3 linked regions of the Oryctolagus cuniculus genome follow. The protein of the gene in region 1 interacts with the protein of each later gene in a pairwise test. Links are inferred from orthologs where the notes say so. Each region holds a gene or a part of one and is shown in the gene's direction. Other genes may lie near its edges.

Region 1 (3,741 bases):
ACTCCACGCAGCCGCGTTCCCCAAGTGGCCGCTGGGACCTCCCGGCGAGGGCCGGGGGGCTGCGCGAGGCTCCTGGCGCCCGGACGCCGCGTCCCGGCCCGGTCCCCGACCCAGCGCAGGGCGCGGTCGTCGCTGAGCCACGTGAAGCGCCAGGGCCGCCGCCGCCGCGGTTGTATAACGCCACAGCCGGCAGGGAGGCGACCGGGGCGCGCGGAGGGAGGGCAGGCGGGCACCGCGCCGGGGGCCCTTCCGCGCTCGGCCAGCAGGGCGCGGGCCCCCGGAGGCAGGGGGTGCGCGCCCGCGGGCCGTGGCCCCGAGCGGGGCTCCCGGGCAGCCAGGGGCGCGCGGCTCACACCCTCGCGGGTCAGGTGCGCGCGGCGTGCTCGGCGGCGGCCTCGGCTGCCCCCGCGCCTGGCCGCTCGCCAGCTTCCCATGGGGTGACATCCGCCCCGCCCTCGGTTCCTCCCCAAGGCGGGCAATTCCTGGACGCAGCGCCGAGCGGTGGGGGCAGGGACGCGGGACGGAAAGAAACCCCGGGCCGGGGGCCGGGCGACTCCCCGCCGCTGCGCGCCGGCTGCTCGCCGCGGGCCAGGCGGGGGAGGAGGAAGACGGCCGGGCTGCTGCGAGCGAGGGGATATTCCTCTCCCGGCTTGAGTCAGACGCGGGCGGATCCGCCCTCCCCCGTCCCCTCCCAGGAGACGGGAACTTACTTCATTTCCCTGGGGCAGGTTCGCCCACGTTGCCAACCCCTCCCCCCGCTCCTAGCCTGCGCGCCCCCCACCCGGCCGGGCACGACCCGGCCGCGCCGCCGCCCCCTCTTCGCGGAAGGCCGGCCGCAGCCGCGGACACCTGGGGGCCAGGGCCGGGCCGGGGGGAGGGGGCTCCCTCGCGGCCGCCGAGCGCTGTCCGACACGTGAGACTCATGTGACGACGGCGGGGGAGGGCGGGCAGGGCGCTCCTTCCCTCCCCGGCAGCGGCCAGACGTGCCTGGAGTCACAGGGTAGAACACGTAGCTCCAACCCACCCACTCGCTCCCATTTAACCCAGCCCGCGGCCTCTCCATTACTCCGCGCTCGCCCCCCCGCCGCCTGCCGCCTCCCCGCCCGCCCCGCGTCTCATTCACTCGGCTCGCGCGGCGCAGACCGCACCGGGAGCGCGCGGAGCCGGAGCCGGCGGCGGAGACCCCGGCCATGCACGCCCCCAACTGAAGCAGCACCTCCGAGCCGCGGCCCCCAGCAGCGCAGCGCAGTCTCGGAGGAGCCCCGCGGAGAGACCCCCTCGCCCCTCGCCCCTCGCCCCTCCCGGGACGGTCCTCACCCGGACAGCAGCGCGCAGTGGCCCCGGCTCGCCGCGCCATGGAGCGGATCCCCAGCGCGCAGCCGCCCCCTGCCTGCCTGCCGAAGGCGCCGGGGCTGGAGCACGGAGACCTCGCGGGGTAAGCAGGCGCTCCCCTCCCCGGGCCGCGGCGCGTCCCGCACCGCGTTCAGCGTGGAACGGCAGCCCGCGCTCAGGCCGAGTCACGACCCCCGCCCCGCACCCCGGTCCCTCTCCCTGCAGGATGGATTTCGCCCACATGTACCAAGTGTACAAGTCCAGGCGGGGAATCAAGCGCGGAGAGGACAGCAAGGTGAGCGCCTCCGCGGGGACCCCGCGTCCCGGCTCCCCAGGGAAAGTTTTCTGGCTGTGGGGCTGGCGAGGGGTGGGCGCGGGGCGGCCGCAGAGCGGCGTGGGAAGCTCGGGGTAGAAGGCGGTCCCGGGCGAGGCGCTGCTGGCCCGCCGACTCGTCCCCGAGCGGCGAGCAGGGGGGGCTGCGCACCCCGGCCCCCCGCACTCACCGCCCCCCGTGCGCCTCGCAGGAGACCTACAAACTGCCGCACCGGCTCATCGAGAAAAAGAGACGTGACCGGATTAACGAGTGCATCGCGCAGCTCAAGGACCTGCTGCCCGAACATCTCAAACTTACAGTAAGCGAGAAGCTGGCGCCTCTCCAGCCGCGCTCCGCTGCCCCGGCGCGGGCGGGGGTCACTCGCCGCCTGCAGGCCCCGCGAGGAACTGCGGCCCGCAGGCCCACTCCGAGCTGGCCGGGGGACTCCGAGCGGGCGGAGGGGGGGCGCCTTGCTCTGTCCCTGGGATTTTCTGGCAGCTCCTCGCAGAGGAAGGGAGACCCTCCCGGAGCTCTCCACCCACGTGGGCCCCCAACACCAGCCGGCCTTACTTTTTATAAAGTTGAAGACGGCCTGCTGCGTACTTGCAAGGTTCTCCATATTTCCTGCCTAAAAGGAGCAACGGGACAACATGCAAAAAAAATTGTTTTTCTTTAAACTTTCTTTCCTTTCTTTGCCTTTTTTTAAAAATAAAGGGACTTGTGTGATTTCTCCATCCTGTCCCGGCTGGACCGTAGCCAACAGCCTTCTGGCCCGACAGCCTTCGGTTGGGAAAAGGAGGGAGGGAAAAGCTTGGATGGTTCTAGGGTGTCAGGAAAAAGCCTCCGAAAGTGTCCTGGCTGCCAGGTGCAGGAGTCCCTGCCCGGGCGACACCGCTGCAGGGAAATGCTATCCGCCGGTCCCCCCGCGCTAAGGTCAGCTGCGGCTGCTGGGGGAATGTGTCCCGGGTAGCTGCCACTTCCAGAATGCCTCTGCTGTGGGATCTTTGCTCCGATGGTGGGGCTGTGAGTGGACTGATAGATGTCTTTGTGAAGCCTCGATCTACGGCCATAAAACTAAATTTAGCCAACGAGGAAAGGTTTTTTTTTTCTTTCACTTCCTTCAGAGACATTTCCCACTGCTCGTAAATGTCCCAGAGTGGGGACTTCGCGCCCTCACCGCCGACCCCTCTCTTAATTTCAGACTTTGGGCCACTTGGAGAAGGCGGTGGTGCTGGAGCTGACCCTGAAGCACGTGAAGGCACTGACCAGCCTGATCGACCAGCAGCAGCAGCAGATCATGGCCCTGCAGAGCGGGCTACAGGCCGGTGAGTGCCCCCGGGGCTCAGCCTGGGGTGCAGGACCCACGCCCGCGGCAAACTGCGTGTGCCCCTTCCCTGTCCTCAAAGGTCAGGCTTCTCGCTGGGTGCTGCCCGGCGTGCATGTGGATCAGTCGAGTGATAAGATGTTTCTGTGACATTTTGGCTTCAGAGCCAGTTCCGGGAGATTTCCCCCAGTGCCTTTGCAAATGCCAGGACACCTAGAATTTGCATGGCGGGTGTTTCGCCGTCGTCTCCCTCACTGGGGAGTAGATCACGGGGATGCCCTCCGTGTTTGCCTGTTTGCTGGCTTCCCCCTCCTGGCGTGATCCTGGCCAGGCCACAGCAGAAGTTTTTCTTGTGCTTCATGTGGTTCCTTGAATAGCCACCAGGTATCGTGGGATATTGCACAATCTAACGAAACCGCTGCAGTTTCATCATTCGTTTGTACTGACTTCCAGAGAATCCGTCACCTTCCAACCTTCCAGTCTGACTGCTTCCAAACCCTGTGGCCTGGGGACGCCGCCTGGGCCCACTCCCTCATGGCGCACTTCTGTGCCTTGCTTTCCGAGGCTGGGATCATAAGAATCCCCCAGACCCAGTAGGGGCTATAATCTCTTCAAATGCAAAAGTGACGCACCTGCTTCCTGGGGGAGCATGAATAAAATACATGGGGAGACTCAGAGCCAAGTCTGAGTTTACGTGCGTGCTGCTTGCGTTGGGTGTCAGCTTCCTGTAGGAGACGGTGCGCCTTCGTTCTTTGCTTCCTGTCGTAACTCT
Region 2 (3,715 bases), on another chromosome or scaffold:
AGCCTTTAACATGTTGATTTGCACGTCCAAGAGGGTGGTCCTCACAAGCAGGACTGTCCTATCTTGGCCAATTCCTTTTTTCTGACCGCACATCTTGAGCCTTGGATTCCATAGAGTACTTCGGAAAACAGTATCCTCATCTGATTATCGTTTCACTGATTAGGACAAGGTGGCCAAAAAGAGAAAACAAAACAAAACAAAATCGGACTGAGCTGCCTGGTAGGGCCAGCTGTTTTCCAGACCAATGATTTTTTTTCTCACCAAACACCAAACCACAGGTACAAATCAACGATAGATCCTTGGGGACCATTCCTTGGTTTTAAATAACTTCCCTTCTGTGTAATCTAGAGGAGTTGCAGTGGATGTAGGAAGAAGGGGGCAACACTCAAAGCAAAACCCACCTTTGAAGAGGATCAAGTCAAGTCTGGTCTCAGGATAGAGACCATTTTTCTCCCCTTGGTGGAAAGGGCACCCAGGAAGACCACATGAGCTCCCCTGAAGGAGGAGGTCCTTTTGAGTATCATAACCCGTATGGGACCTCCACTCTCCAACCTGCCTCAAATTGCCCTATAAACCGATCCTGTATCCTCCGTCCAAGTACTAAAAATGCTATATATGCCAGGCCTCTGCAAGATACGTAACTCCACGATGATGCGGTATCATTTCCACTCTGAAGGGATTTTCCATCTGGTAGGGAACCGCAGACTTGCTAACACTTGATGCGAACCAAGCGGCGAGGAGTCGACAAGGAGGAAAGCGTTTCCCAAGGCTCTCCATGCCCACCCTAAGCCTGAAGGTAAACGGGGAGTTATTGGAGGATGTTGTCGGTTTTAAACAGAACTCTGGCCACACAGTGCGTTCTGCGACTCCACTTCCCATTATCACTTCCCCTTCCTGCTCCTCTCCTCCCCTCATCTTTTCCTTAGTTAATAACCCGCGGAAGGGTCACTCCCTCACCTCATATCATCAAAGGGCCTTGGTCCTGGGAGCGGCCACCTCTGGCTCTAGCCTCCTGCTCATCACCAGGGGGCTCATTACCCTACATAGTACACCTGTATAAGTAATTGGTACTAACGCAAGTCTCCTGACAGACGCTGACTTAAAGACTTCCGTCCGCAGCCTCCTCAGTGACCCAACCATCAGGTAAGACGCACAGCAACTCCCATTCGGCTGGGTCACTGAATTGTCCAAACCCCAGGGTTACCAAAAACCAAACCTAAAGACCCGCCATTGACGGGGCCCGAACCCGCGTCTTTGCAGTGCTGGGCATGCGCAATCTCCCCCACGAAACCGTCACGTGGACTCGGGAGCTGGTAGGAAGCGGAAGACTAACCAGGAGGAGAAAGAAGCCCGCCCCCGGAAGTCCCGCCCATCTCTAGAGCTTGTTCCCGGAAGTGGCGCTGTTTGTCGCGGGCGTGATGGCTTCAAGGTTACTTCGCGGAGCTGGAGCGCTGGCTGCTCAGGCCCTGAGGGCCCGCGGACCCAATGGAGCGGCTGCCGTGCGCTCCATGGCTTCTGGAGGTACGCGGCGCAAGGGACCGGTGTCGTTGCTCTCCCGGGGTGGTTGGGGCTGGGGCAGGAAAGCGGGTCGGGCTCTGCAGCCCCTCTGGGCCCCAGTGGCCACCTCTCGGCCCCGAGTGCATCAAGCTCTGCGGGCGTCGCCCTGTCATTTCGGGCTTCCGCTACTGCCGCCCACCGAGCTGACCCCGCAGAGTAAGACTCCTCAGCAGAGGTGCCGGATGACCTTGGAGGGCAGGGATTGCAAACGGGATGGAGCGGGACCGGGCTGCCCTTCAAACCCGCGCCCACTCTGAGCCGAGTGGACTCTGGTTGACCAGCTTTTAGAAAAATGTCGAAAAATCGGTTTTGGTGGTTGGAGGTGTGGAGAGAGCAAAGCTTCCGCTGGTGCTGGTCTTTTGGGGCTCGTCCCTAGAGGATCCTGGGTATCTGCAGCCTTTAGGAGCCCGTGAGCCCAGTAAAACATAGACAGGAGCTCGTGTGTGGCGTTTTCCGTCTTGATCATTTGCAGCGTGCCTTTTCCTGTCTGGGTCGCTAAAGGACATAATGCACGTGTCTTCCTTTAGGTGGTGTCCCGACCGATGAGGAACAGGCCACCGGGCTGGAGAGGGAGGTCATGATGGCCGCGCGGAAGGGACTGGTGAGGAGGGGCTCCCTTCTGTGTCTTCTGTGGTGCTCATGGGTCTGGGATGGAATCGGGGGAGTCGCCAGTCCTCTCCGTGCATTTGATCCAGGCAGCCTGGCTTGTGGGAGCAGGCCTCAGCTCCGGGAGGGTAGAAGTCTTATGGCATAGTGGAGTAATTCTTTTTTTTTTTTTTTTCCAGGACCCATACAATATGCTACCCCCAAAGGCAGCTTCAGGCACCAAGGAGGACCCTAATTTAGTCCCTTCCATCACCAACAAGCGAATAGTGGGCTGCATCTGTAAGTCCCTGACACGTTTTCTTAACTATTTAAGTAGTATATTCTGTTTGGGACGGCTATAAGCTGCTTCACATCTCGTGTGTGTGTGTGCAACTCTATGAATGTAAAGAGGATGTGTGTATAACTAAGTTGTTCCCAGAGTCCTGGCTCTCACGCAGTAGGTCATCCTTACTGGAAAGAGGTGTGGAACAAGCAGCAAGACTGGCTGGCTGGAAGTGCATGATGAAGATGGAATTTTCATTCACAAATCTTGGGCAATGTTTTAGGCCCCAGGGATGCACACCAGAGTGGACCCCGTTTGGAAGTCTGTGTAGGCAAGGGTATTGCTAGAACTTACAGTGACCTTGCTGTAAGGTCGGTATATGTGCAGGTAGATGCAGGGCCTCAGTTCTTCATCTGGAGAGTAGGGAGGAGAGTTTGAACTGATGTCCTCAGATGTCAGCCACAGTTTTATTTCTGTCTCCGAGGTGTCTGGGTAAAAAAGGTCAATGTTGAAAGTCTCTCTTCTTAGACCGGATGACTTTCAAACTCCTTTTGTCCTTTCAGGTGAAGAGGACAACAGTGCTGTCATCTGGTTCTGGCTGCACAAAGGCGAGACCCAGCGATGCCCTAACTGTGGAACCCATTATAAGCTGGTGCCTCACCAGTTGGCCCACTGAGCCCCTGCGCTAACTTAATCAGAATGTGCTGTGAGGTTTCTTCTTCCCAATAAAGATTAGCCATTGTATTGGCTCCTCCTCCCGTAGGTGACTGGCTTTACTTCTTTGTTTTCTTTTCCTTTTTTTTTTTTTGTAAGATTTATTATTTTTCTTTGAAAGGCAGAGTTAAAGAGAGGCAGAGAGAGGTCTTCAATCCGCTGGTTCACTCCCCAGATGTCTGCAGCGGCCAGAGCTGTGCTGATCCGAAGCCAGGAGCTTCTTCCAGGTCTCCCATGTGGGAAACCCCAAGGACTTGGGCCATCTTCCACTGCTTTCCCAGGCCACAGCAGAGAGCTGGATCGGAAGTGGAGCAGCCAGGAGTTGAACCGGTGCCCATATGGGATGCTGGCACTGCAGGCAGCGGCTTTACCTGCTATGCCACAGTGCTGGCCCCCATATATTTTTGGGTGGGTGATTCTTACATTGGGAATAGCTCTCTGTTAATACCAGCTTGCTACTCACAGTCTACAACCAGTGTGCACTGCTTAGATTAAGTAGATTAACAACCCGGAATGCAGTGCTTGGGAGCACCTAGTGCAGGGGAAAAGACAGGCTGTGGAATCAGGCTCCACCGT
Region 3 (3,741 bases), on another chromosome or scaffold:
GGAGCCTGGTCAGTGTGCTGGCTGGAGAGGTGGGGACAACCCCAGGAGTGGGTGGGCAGCCTTGGGGATGCTGGAAGAGCAACCCCCTGAATATTTAAGTAAGCTCCAAGGAGACGACCTGTGCAGACAAGTGGACACATGGCCAGCCTGGCGCACGCCCCCAACCTCCCCCACCATAAGCATTCCAGGTCAGCGAAGCGTTCTGTGCCCCCTACAGCCTGATCCTGAGCGTGACTAGAACCCAGGCCCCAGCTGCTCCAGGTGTGTGCCCTGTGGCTCGGCCTTCCGGTCCCCTTGGCTGTGCATTCCAGGGGCCCTTGAGCCATGGGTGGGCGTTCAGGTTGCTTCCTGCTCTTTGAGGTTCTGTCGGGTCCATGGAGCAGTGGGATTGTGGGGAGCTGTGGGATTCTGGGGCGCAGTTATCCTCAGCTTTAGCAGTCACTGCCCAGGTTTTGCAAACTGGCCGCTGCCCCGTTGGGACCTTGGGGGCAAGGCGGGATGGGGAATGGGGCGGGAACACGGGTGGCGCAGGAACTTCTCAGCTGAGTTGGTTTTTGCGGTAGGTAGACCAGATGGTGCAGAGCAGGGTGGGTGGGGACTGAGCTCCGCTTCCGGATGTGGGAATTTTCCCACGTGCTCTGGGCAGAGGTGCGCGTGGGGTGCCGGAAGGCGTGTGGGCAGTGGCTGTCCAACCGCGACCCTTGCAGCGGCTCCCGGCTCCCGGCTGTCCGCACAGCAAGGCCGCTACCGCGCCCCCACCAGTGCCCTGTGGCCCTGCCAGATTTGGGGGTTTCTTCCCCAGGCTGAGGGGCTGCTTCTGCACGATGCCCTTCACTCCTGGAGAGCCTGACTCGGGGACGCCACCCGCGGACCTGCAGGAGCGCCGGCCGTGAAGACGTGAAGACATGAAGACATGAAGACGTGAAGACGGCCGGCCTGGGTCCGCCTCTCCCGCTCAACCGGGAGGCTCAGACAGGCTGTTTGGTCTGGGTCTCAGTTCCCTTCCCTACACGGAGGGGCTGACACCCACCTGGAGGGGCCGTCACGCGGGAGGTGAGTGCTATGCCTGGGCTAGACCCCCCCAGGCCCGTGGCTGAGTTGCTGGTGCCCAGCCAATAGGTGACAGAGCCGGGATTACAGCCAGATCCCCGAGGCTTAGCCCCGTGCTGTCTCTTCCCAAGCTCGGGGGCCTCGGTCGGCCACGCGTAATCCCATCTGCCTCCTTGCGCCGGCACTGACGTTGGCTGCCCAGCTCTGCTGGCATCGCCCTGCCTGGTGGCTCGGGAGGCGGGGCGGGGGGCGGGGGGATTCAAGTCTCAGAGAACAACATCACATGCTTCCCCGGGTGACACCTGCTGCGGGAGTCTCCCAGGCGGCAGGGCTGGATTTTCCCGGCTCCTGCACCCGAGCACGGGCCCCCAGCTCTGCGGAGGGAGGAGGTAGGGGCCCCCTCCCCCCAGTCTTGGATAGTGTGACCCCTCCAACCCGTGGCTCTCGGGCTTCGGGAAGGAGAGCTTCTAGACCATGGGGAATTGTGGGAGCCGTGGGCTTTTTCCGTCTGAAGTGGCCTTAAGAACTGTGCACCTGCAGGCTGCCCTGGGAGAGGCCCCCGGGGTGGGTCTGCAGTCTGATGAGCAGGGGTAGGGGAGCGGCAGGTGTTCTGTGTGCCCTCCGTGACTGCTCCTGCCTACGTCCCCCGCTCTCTGTAGCCTGACTCCCTCCCACTGCCCTCCCACCTCCGCCCCAGCCCAGTCCTGTGTGTGGGCAGGGGCCCACTCTGTGGCTGGGTAAGAGGAGAGACTTGGGGTCACTTTTCTGTAGGACTGAGGCTGCCTAGAAAGCTCCATCTTGCGCCTGAGGCACTGAGGTCTCCCTCTGGCCAGGTAAGACCCCACGGACGGCGCACGGGGGCCGGGGCACTGGCCTGCCCTGCAGTCGCATCAGAAGTGGTCCATGGAGGCTCAGGGGCCCTCCCTCCCCTCCCACCCTGGGCAGCAGCGCTGGGGGCCCCAGACTCCGCTGAAGCCTGCTCATCGCTCCCCCTCTCCCTTGGGGCTCAGGTGCACCCAGAGGGCAGTGGGACCAGAGCCTGGAGGTTTGCGGGGGCCACCCCACACATGCATCCCTCTGGGCTGTGAGCAAAGATGGGGAGAGAGCCCGGGCCAGGCATCGCTTAGAGGCTTCCCCGGGGACCAGGCTTCTGGGAAGGACCCATCGCTCTGGGGGCTGACCCCACCCCAGTTCTGGCTACAAGAGGCCAGATTCACTGCTTCTCTGGAGATGAGAACTGGACCCACGGCCATTGCCATTCTGACAGGTGCTGGGGGCCCTCCTGGGCCGGAGGTCACTGCCAAGGCCTGGTCACCCCAGGGAGGCAGCAGGATGTCCACGCTCAGCACCCAGCCCCTGAAACCCAAGGCCCTGCACCCACCACCGGGGTCCCCGGAGTCCCCAGGCCACCAGCGGCGCCACACGCTGCCCGCCAGTGAGTTCCGCTGCCTCACCCCAGAGGATGCGGCCGGCGTGTTTGAGATTGAGCGAGAAGGTGAGCAGCTCTGGGAGGGGCCCCTTCTGTCCCTGGGAGAAGACCCTTGGGTGTCCTGTCCTGAAGGCCAGGTCCCAAGGGTCAGACCACGTGTGTGCATTCAAGAAAGTCGGGGGGCAGCAGCCCTGTTCCCATGCTTCCCTGGAGAGGGAGGGGTGCGGTTTCTGGGTGGACCCTCAGCGGGCAGTGCATGGTGGGTGGGCGGCACATTGACCCCCTCCTCCACGCCTACCCCGTGCCTCCGGCCACAGCCTTCATGTCCGTCTCGGGCAGCTGCCCCCTGTACTTGGACGAGATCCGGCACTTCCTCACCCTGTGTCCAGAGCTGTCCCTGGGCTGGTTCCAGGAGGGCCGCCTGGTGGCCTTCATCATCGGCTCACTTTGGGACAAGGAGAGGCTCACCCAGGTAAGGGTGGGCGTGGCTGCAGCTCCGGAAGAAATAAGCCCTGGGCTGCGATTTTCTTGCCCCAAGAGCGGGGAGCTGAGTTGCTGGGTCCCTCCCAGGCTCCTAGGCTTCACCCAGGGGGCTGGGATGTGGCTCCCAAGTCGGGGTCCTCCTTGTGTGCAGAGGGGCCCCCAGTGGAGGCACTTGGAGTCACCTGCTCTTGGCCTGGGCTGCATGGCTTGGGGGAAGCAGGTGCCAGAGGAGCTGCCTGGCTCACCCGCAGGAGTCGCTGACGCTGCACAGGCCCGGGGGCCGCGTGGCCCACCTGCACGTGCTGGCCGTGCACCGCGCCTGCCGGCAGCAGGGCAAGGGCTCCGTCCTGCTGTGGCGCTACCTGCAGCACCTGGGCGGCCAGCGGGCCGTGCGCCGGGCGGTGCTCATGTGTGAGGACGCCCTGGTGCCCTTCTACGAGAGGCTCGGCTTCCGCGCCGTGGGCCCGTGCGCTGTCACCGTGGGCTCCCTCGCCTTCACTGAGCTCCAGTGCTCCGTGCGGGGCCACGCCTGCCTGCGCAGGAAGAGCGGTTGCTAAGGGGGCTGCCCGCCTGGCCCCCGGGCCCCTCCTCTGCCCCAGCTGAGTGTGGCCGGAGGGGTTCCCGCCTGCCCCGTGCTCACAGCCGGGTGCCCTGTCCTCTGTGCCTGAGGCCAGGCTGGATCCCAGGTGCCCAGTCCTTTCCTGTCCACTCTCGCTCACGCCCACACTCGCTGCCCTTAGTCCTGGACGCAGGGTGCAGGGTCGGCGGTGGCAGCCCTG

What was found.
Region 2: the proteins of BHLHE40 (region 1) and COX5B interact in binary tests that used the Homo sapiens proteins (3 or more experiments, as listed by UniProt). The two-hybrid records come from large-scale screens. The link is inferred for Oryctolagus cuniculus from reciprocal best matches to the Homo sapiens genes BHLHE40 and COX5B.
Region 3: the proteins of BHLHE40 (region 1) and AANAT interact in binary tests that used the Homo sapiens proteins (3 or more experiments, as listed by UniProt). The two-hybrid records come from large-scale screens. The link is inferred for Oryctolagus cuniculus from reciprocal best matches to the Homo sapiens genes BHLHE40 and AANAT.

The regions. Positions count from the first base shown.
Region 1 is NC_091441.1:120,811,769-120,815,509, reverse strand, and holds the start of BHLHE40 (class E basic helix-loop-helix protein 40), read left to right. Parts: upstream 1-1,120; 5' UTR 1,121-1,355; coding exon 1,356-1,435; intron 1,436-1,557; coding exon 1,558-1,627; intron 1,628-1,835; exon of another isoform or gene 1,836-1,856; coding exon 1,857-1,964; intron 1,965-2,846; coding exon 2,847-2,970; intron 2,971-3,741. UniProt on the Homo sapiens protein: Transcriptional repressor involved in the regulation of the circadian rhythm by negatively regulating the activity of the clock genes and clock-controlled genes.
Region 2 is NC_091433.1:110,723,380-110,727,094, reverse strand, and holds COX5B (cytochrome c oxidase subunit 5B, mitochondrial), read left to right. Parts: upstream 1-1,287; 5' UTR 1,288-1,418; coding exon 1,419-1,521; intron 1,522-2,084; coding exon 2,085-2,158; intron 2,159-2,342; coding exon 2,343-2,442; intron 2,443-2,988; coding exon 2,989-3,101; 3' UTR 3,102-3,187; downstream 3,188-3,715. UniProt on the Homo sapiens protein: Component of the cytochrome c oxidase, the last enzyme in the mitochondrial electron transport chain which drives oxidative phosphorylation.
Region 3 is NC_091448.1:4,303,714-4,307,454, reverse strand, and holds the start of AANAT (serotonin N-acetyltransferase), read left to right. Parts: upstream 1-1,292; 5' UTR 1,293-1,333; coding exon 1,334-1,439; intron 1,440-1,821; exon of another isoform or gene 1,822-1,883; intron 1,884-2,317; coding exon 2,318-2,545; intron 2,546-2,796; coding exon 2,797-2,951; intron 2,952-3,213; coding exon 3,214-3,519; 3' UTR 3,520-3,741. UniProt on the Homo sapiens protein: Controls the night/day rhythm of melatonin production in the pineal gland. Catalyzes the N-acetylation of serotonin into N-acetylserotonin, the penultimate step in the synthesis of melatonin.